Linked DNA regions of Canis lupus familiaris. The protein of the gene in region 1 interacts with the protein of each later gene in a biochemical or structural test. Links are inferred from orthologs where the notes say so. Each region holds a gene or a part of one and is shown on either strand. Other genes may lie near its edges.

The links.
Region 2: of the proteins of UBC (region 1) and ZRANB1, one has a biochemical effect on the other in vitro, tested with the Homo sapiens proteins (10 studies listed by BioGRID and IntAct, with this or other methods). The link is inferred for Canis lupus familiaris from reciprocal best matches to the Homo sapiens genes UBC and ZRANB1.

The regions. Positions count from the first base shown.
Region 1 is NC_049247.1:5,228,646-5,232,845, reverse strand, and holds the start of UBC (polyubiquitin-C), read right to left. Parts: upstream 2,801-4,200; 5' UTR 2,642-2,800; intron 1,820-2,641; 5' UTR 1,817-1,819; coding exon 1-1,816.
Region 2 is NC_049249.1:34,608,410-34,612,343, reverse strand, and holds part of ZRANB1 (ubiquitin thioesterase ZRANB1), read right to left. Parts: intron 2,485-3,934; exon of another isoform or gene 2,252-2,484; intron 1,282-2,251; coding exon 1,161-1,281; intron 1-1,160. UniProt on the Homo sapiens protein: Ubiquitin thioesterase, which specifically hydrolyzes 'Lys-29'-linked and 'Lys-33'-linked diubiquitin. Also cleaves 'Lys-63'-linked chains, but with 40-fold less efficiency compared to 'Lys-29'-linked ones.

The DNA.
Region 1 (4,200 bases):
TGAGGCGAAGGACCAGGTGCAGAGTGGACTCCTTCTGGATGTTGTAGTCGGACAGGGTGCGCCCATCTTCCAGCTGTTTGCCAGCAAAGATCAACCTCTGCTGGTCAGGGGGGATGCCCTCCTTGTCCTGGATCTTCGCCTTGACGTTCTCGATGGTGTCACTGGGCTCCACCTCCAGGGTGATGGTCTTACCCGTCAAGGTCTTCACGAAGATCTGCATGCCCCCCCTGAGGCGAAGGACCAGGTGCAGAGTGGACTCCTTCTGGATGTTGTAGTCGGACAGGGTGCGCCCATCTTCCAGCTGTTTGCCGGCAAAGATCAACCTCTGCTGGTCAGGGGGGATGCCCTCCTTGTCCTGGATCTTCGCCTTGACGTTCTCGATGGTGTCACTGGGCTCCACCTCCAGGGTGATGGTCTTACCCGTCAAAGTCTTCACGAAGATCTGCATGCCCCCCCTGAGGCGAAGGACCAGGTGCAGAGTGGACTCCTTCTGGATGTTGTAGTCGGACAGGGTGCGCCCATCTTCCAGCTGTTTGCCGGCAAAGATCAACCTCTGCTGGTCAGGGGGGATGCCCTCCTTGTCCTGGATCTTCGCCTTGACGTTCTCGATGGTGTCACTGGGCTCCACCTCCAGGGTGATGGTCTTACCCGTCAAGGTCTTCACGAAGATCTGCATGCCCCCCCTGAGGCGAAGGACCAGGTGCAGAGTGGACTCCTTCTGGATGTTGTAGTCGGACAGGGTGCGCCCATCTTCCAGCTGTTTGCCAGCAAAGATCAACCTCTGCTGGTCAGGGGGGATGCCCTCCTTGTCCTGGATCTTCGCCTTGACGTTCTCGATGGTGTCACTGGGCTCCACCTCCAGGGTGATGGTCTTACCCGTCAAGGTCTTCACGAAGATCTGCATGCCCCCCCTGAGGCGAAGGACCAGGTGCAGAGTGGACTCCTTCTGGATGTTGTAGTCGGACAGGGTGCGCCCATCTTCCAGCTGTTTGCCGGCAAAGATCAACCTCTGCTGGTCAGGGGGGATGCCCTCCTTGTCCTGGATCTTCGCCTTGACGTTCTCGATGGTGTCACTGGGCTCCACCTCCAGGGTGATGGTCTTACCCGTCAAAGTCTTCACGAAGATCTGCATGCCCCCCCTGAGGCGAAGGACCAGGTGCAGAGTGGACTCCTTCTGGATGTTGTAGTCGGACAGGGTGCGCCCATCTTCCAGCTGTTTGCCGGCAAAGATCAACCTCTGCTGGTCAGGGGGGATGCCCTCCTTGTCCTGGATCTTCGCCTTGACGTTCTCGATGGTGTCACTGGGCTCCACCTCCAGGGTGATGGTCTTACCCGTCAAGGTCTTCACGAAGATCTGCATGCCCCCCCTGAGGCGAAGGACCAGGTGCAGAGTGGACTCCTTCTGGATGTTGTAGTCGGACAGGGTGCGCCCATCTTCCAGCTGTTTGCCGGCAAAGATCAACCTCTGCTGGTCAGGGGGGATGCCCTCCTTGTCCTGGATCTTCGCCTTGACGTTCTCGATGGTGTCACTGGGCTCCACCTCCAGGGTGATGGTCTTACCCGTCAAGGTCTTCACGAAGATCTGCATGCCCCCCCTGAGGCGAAGGACCAGGTGCAGAGTGGACTCCTTCTGGATGTTGTAGTCGGACAGGGTGCGCCCATCTTCCAGCTGTTTGCCAGCAAAGATCAACCTCTGCTGGTCAGGGGGGATGCCCTCCTTGTCCTGGATCTTCGCCTTGACGTTCTCGATGGTGTCACTGGGCTCCACCTCCAGGGTGATGGTCTTACCCGTCAAAGTCTTCACGAAGATCTGCATTGTCTGTCACAAAAAAACCCAAAAAAACAAAAAAAACAATCCGGAGTGTAACAGACCACTCACATGTGAATAGAACGCTAACAGTTACTGGTCATTTTACACTAACCCAAGAACTAAAATAAACCTCGCCAAAAAACCTAAGGCGAAGAAACAGGACAGGTTTTGGAAACTCAAATAAGCTCCAAAACCAAGTTCCAGGCCCCAGGAGGAGAGAAAGCATGGATACCGGTCAAGTGAAGGCGCCGGCTTCCGTATCTTCCCCTCCCCCCTCAGTGATGTCTGGACCGGACAATCCGCAGGATCTCCCCTCCCCCGCCCCGCCTAACCCTTGTGCCCCGCGACTGACCCAAGCCGGCTCCACACACAGGAACACGCGGCCCCACCCCGGATTGTTAGCTGACAAAGCGATGACATCACATGACCGACGCGACGAGCGGGCCCCCTCCCCCCAAACGGGCGCAGGACTGCTCCGGCACTTCGGGCCCACTCGCCGCGACCGGACACGGAGCGTGGCGCCAGCGGGGCCGCGGAGCACACAGGGGCTTCCCGCCCCCACTCACTGCGCAGAGGGCCCCGTCAGGGCCCCACTGGCTCGGCGCGTCTCGCCCGCTCACAGCCATCCCGTCTCCCGGGCTCCTCACGGCCCCTCGCACCTCGGCTTCTCCCCGCACAGGAGCCGTAGCGGACGCCATTTTGCTGCGCCCCCCCCCCCAAGAGTAACCGCGCTCCGGCGCCGCGGGCAACTCCCCGGGCAGCCGGCTGCCCGGCCCCCCGCCCCTGCAGGGCCCCAAGACCCCCAGGCCCGCGCAGCGGCCCGCTCCTCACCAAGCGGCTGTGACAGAAGCGCACGGAGACGAACAACCGACCTCCCGGCCTCCACGGAACTGCCTGCGCCACGCCCGGCGCCTCCTTATATAACAATCGGCCGCGCCGCTCCGGCGGATCCCTGCGCAGAAACGCCGAGAAGGGACTACTTTTCACCGTCTTCCTGGCCTCCAGGGAGAAAACCACTGCCCCAGAATCTTCTAGGAGCCCCCGGAAACGTCGACCTGTCAAGGCTGGGCTGTAGGGCTGAATCTGGCGAGGAGAGGGCCGCGGTCCCGAGCGCCCGCGCGGAGGGATCAGCGCGCCCGTTGAGTGCTGCGTCCGCGGACGTGGCCGGCGCCGGATGCGAGGGGGGAGGGGGGAGGGGGCGAGCGCGGAGAACAGGGCCCGCGGGAGACGGGAAAACCCGGCGCGGAATCGCCGGGCGTCCGGGGCGAGCTGCCCCTGCCGCGGGACCCAGACACCCCTTCCCCTCGGCCGCAGCGGTCCCCGCGGCTCTCGAGACCCGCCCTGGGCGGAGAGGGGTTGGGCGTCGTGGTCCCTCGCCCCTCCGCGACCGCAGGGGTCCTCGCGCCGGGGCCTGCGGCCCGCCCATCCCCCCGCGCGGGCGCGGACAGGACGGATGACTCGACAGATCGCGGCGCGGGGCGGGAGGTGGGCCCGGGCTGGGCTGGGGCAGCGGGGGAGCAGGGGGTGCGGGACGGCCGAAGGCTAGAAGGGGGCGCAGAAACCCCGCACGCTTTGCCCGCACCTATTCGAGAGGCGTCTGGAAGTCCACCGAACTTTCTAGAATGTCCTTTGGCCTTCCTGTACCACCTACGCCGCCTTGTACTAGATACACACACGGAGGCATCTGGTGGACACTCAGTGGAGCTCAGACGTACAACTTCCTTAGGCCTGGGGTCTCAGAAACACAAGTCCAATCCCAGGCCTGTACATTCGTGGGCGGGGGGGGGGGGGACACAATTTAATATCCCAAATACAAAATTTGGGGCACCTGGGTGACTCAGTGGTTGAGTGCCTTTGGCTCGGGGCGTGACCCCGGGGTCCTGGGATCCAGTCCTGTGTTGAGGTCCCCGCAGGGAGCCTGCTTCTCCCTCTGCCTGTGTCTCTGTTTCTGATGTCTCATGAATAAAGATCTTTTTTTTTTTTTAATAAAGATCTTTAATAAATAATTTAATTACATTGAATTCTATGGCAAAATTCCATTTGAATAAAAGGAGAAAGACTGAAAAATAAAATACCTGAATATGGTGAAAACTTAAAAAGTTTCTGGAAGTTTACAGAGAAAAGTCCTTCACATGCTCAATCCCCCAGCCACTGTCTCTTCTGGAGCTATTCTCTGTTTCAGTGTGGAGGGGGGAAAGATCTTTTCATTTCACCCTCAAAGCTTTCAAGAAAAAAACAAATAGGAAAAGTTGCCTAAACAATGTTCTGCGGTTAAAAAAAGACTCATTCCTGTTTTAAATTATGAATATTGTATTATTTAAATTCTCAAAATGTGAATCAAAACTGCTATGTGTTTTCTTTGGTAACCCATGTAGGTACGTATTTATGAG
Region 2 (3,934 bases), on another chromosome or scaffold:
CTTTAAAACATTTATTGCTGCCCTGGAAAACTAATGTGCAAAACACAATGCTGCTCCCCTTCAGTACACGAGATCAATGCTTTTTTTTTTTTTAATTGATAATACTGTCAAGCTAAAGAGGCATTAACTTCTTCAAATAGCAAAATCCAATGAAATAATAAAAGAAATCTGCGAAGTCTACGTATACAACTCTCTTTCACAATCCAAACCCAAAACCCAATGGATTTGGTTAAATACTGATCCCAGGAACAAGAGATTCAGATAGTAAGGCAGTGGTGGCGTCATTCCATCCTTGCTGTCACCTGTCAGAGTACTGCACCTATGACAAGGTCCTCTCCAAGTAAAAAGATGAGCTGTTATTTCACACAAACATAAATGGCAAGAATACTAAACAGGTCTACTACCATCCCTCTATAACAATTCTGACAACACATTTTCAGGAAGTACATGTTGCTGATGTAAAACAGCCACTGTGCCAGGGTTCAAATTAATCATGGTGCTTTCTGCAAAGATAAGGAATGGTTTGTTGTGTGTATATTTGAACATTACAATTCAGCATACTGAATGTGCTTCACAGAATAAAACTAGTATGAAAGCTAGAGTCTAAGAGGAACAACCCTACATAATTCGTTTTTATAAAAAGTCCATTCCCAGGTTAATTTTAAAGAAATCCCTCCTCCTGTCAGCCATGGCACCTCCTTCTTGGCATATATCACATGGAAAGAGAGCCTCACCCCTGGAAGTCTCATGAAGATCCCAGCTTCACCCTCCAGGCCTGACGGCAGACAGAGCACCAACACAAGAGTGCCTACCTACCATCAGCTCAATGGTCTTGGTTAAGTGCCCCTCAGACAGAACAGGAGCTAACCAGGAGGTAGATAAAACAGGCATAAAGCCACATTCCTAAGAGGACAATATGAATGAAGAGCAATCTGAAAAGGTAGGTGAATGCTTAAATCATCATAATGACTTTCATTTTCAAAGTTTCTAATCACTTCATGTGAGTTGCCTATGGTCATAGTGTTGACAGCAGTCACGGCCAGAACCCAAATCAAGCCAAATCAAGCACAGTTTCATGTCTACCACAATGTTTCCAACAGTTTACGCATATATGTAGCCTACGCTTTTCACAGAAGCAACATGCCTCAAAGCATTCTTACCTGACTAGCGAGAGAGAGTATAAATGCCCAGTCTTCTTGCCACTGTTCTTCTCTCAAGGAAAAATGTAAACCAAAGCTCTGAGAATACCATGATTCCCAATCTTTCCAACGTGTATAAAACCTAAAAAAGCAAGATTGCAAAAGATAAGCCTTCTATAAATGTTCTAATCATTTATTTAATGGAGTCTGTCTTTAAGCAATTCCTGTAAAGAGAACAGCAATTTTATTAATCTTACCCAGTTTGCAATATACTTTCAAACTAAAAATGCCTAGCAGACATCATTTAACACATTCTCACACATAATTTAATTCACCACCCAACATGTTTTCACCAAAACTTTAAATATTAGTGATAAGAACAATCAATTTCAACTGTCTACTACTGGTTTAAAGGTTAAAAACCAAAAAGCAAACACTCAGAATCATCTGAGATGCTGGATATAAAGATGCTACATTTCTACATTACTATTTAGTATTCACTACTTGATCACTGTGTAAATAATAAACTAGAAATAGCCCATGTATTCACAACAGTATCAAAATCACTTCCAGGGCAAGGCCCTAAATCTTTCTGACTCTATGAAGGCTCAGAAAGATGAGGAAACCATCAAAGAGAAATCTGAAGGTAGCAGAGTTGGTTCATGAGGTTTAAAGGAAGAAGCCATCTCATCTCCAGACATCAAAGTGTAAGGTGAACTGACAAGTGATGTAGAAGCTACAGCAAATTCTCCAGAAGATCTAGCTAAAATAATGAATGTAGGTAACTACACTAAACAAATTTTCAATGTAGATGAAACAGCCTTCTATAGGAAGAAGATGCCTTCTGGGACTGACATAGCTAGAGAGAAGTCAGTACCTGCTTTCAAAGGACACGCTCTCTTGTTAAGGGGCTCATGCAGCTAGTGACTTTAAGGGCCATCCCAGGGCCCTTAATAATTATGCTAAATATACTCTATTTTAAAAAAAGCCTGAATGACAGTACATCCATTTACAGTATAATTTACTGAATATTTTAAACCCACTGTTGACACCTACCCCCCCAGATTTATTTAAAAAAAAAAAAAAACTCCTTTCAAATTATTACTGCTCACCGACAATGCACCTGGTCACCCAAGAGCTTTGATGGAGATGGACAATCAGATTGTTTTCATGCCTGCTGCTAACACAACATCCATTCTGCAGCCCATGATCAAGGAGTAATTTCGACTTTCATTATTCCAAGTAAGCCTCTAGCTGCCATTCCACAGATGGATCTGGGCAAAAGAAACTGAAAAACTTCTGGAAAGGATTCACCATTCTGGATGCAACTAAGAATGTTCCTGATCTAAGGAAAGAGGTCAAAATATTAACATTTACAGGCGTTTGGTAGAAGCAGATTACAACCCTCTGGATGACTTTGAGGGGTTCAAGACCTGAAAGAAGGAAGTAACTGCAGATGTGGTGGGAATAACAAGAGAACTAGAATGAGAAGTAGAACCTAGAGATGGGACTGAACTGCTGCAATCTCCAGACACAACTTGAACAGATGAGAACTTGCTTGTGATGGATGAGCAACGACAGTGGTTATTTATTTATTTATTTATTTATGTATTTATTTATTTTGCAAAGGAATCTAATCCTGGCAAAAATGCTATCAAGACTGTTGAAATCACAACAAAGGATTGAGAATATCACATAACTGAGCTGATAAAGCAGCAGCAGGGTTTGAAAGGACCAACTCCAATGCTGAAAGGAATACTGTGGATAAAATGCCATCAAACAGCATCACGCACTATAGGGAAATCATTCATGAGGAGTCTATCAATGGAGCAATCTTCGCTGTAATCTCACTTTAAGAAACTGCCACAGCCACCTCTACCTTCAGCCACCAGCATCCTGATCGGCCAGGAGCCATCAACCTTGAAGCAAGACCCTTCGCCAGCAAAAAGATCGGGACTCAATGAAAGTTCAGATGATGGCTGGGGTCTCTCAACAGAGACCTTAAAATTAAAACGTATAGTTTTTTTAAGACCTAATGGCTACTGCACACTTGACTACAGACTATAATATACTGGAAACATTAACTTTTATACGCACTGGGAAACCAAAATATTCCTTTACTTGATTAAAATATTCACTATTGCAGCCGTCTAGAACTAAATCCACCTATCTCCAAGGTATGCCTGTACATATTATACATCCAATCAGGTTACCATCTAGGCTTGCCAGCTAGGAAGCGTTTTAATTTTTTTCAGGTGACCTCAAATTTTTCCTCTTTTGTATTATGCTTTGATTTATAATTTAGCTATCAAAAAAGTGATCAAATTGCTCTCATTTTCAAATTCTAGAGAGTACTTTCATTCAGTAGTGTTTACGGTGTACTTACTAGGTCAGGCTACTGGAGGCACTACATCTTCCACAACGAAACACAACAAAATCTCTGTTCTCATGGAGTTTATGTTCTAATGGACTTCACATAATCCCTAAATACTCACAACAAAATTTACCTAGTAAATGCTCAGATATTACATAAGAGGTACTAGGGTAGTAACATCTTTTGGATTAAGGCCGTTATCATTACCGTGTTCAATTAGGTATGGGGGGGAGCATACTTTAATTAATTTAGCTTCTTTCACCCTCAATTTTTCTCACTTATGACAACTGAGACAATGTATATACAGAACCAAGAAAATACCATTAAGTCAAGACCAGTCATATACCTGGTTGGATGCTGGGTAAAAAATAAGACACAGGTTTCCGCTACTATCTGAAAGTTTGCTTCATGCCCCTTTGCT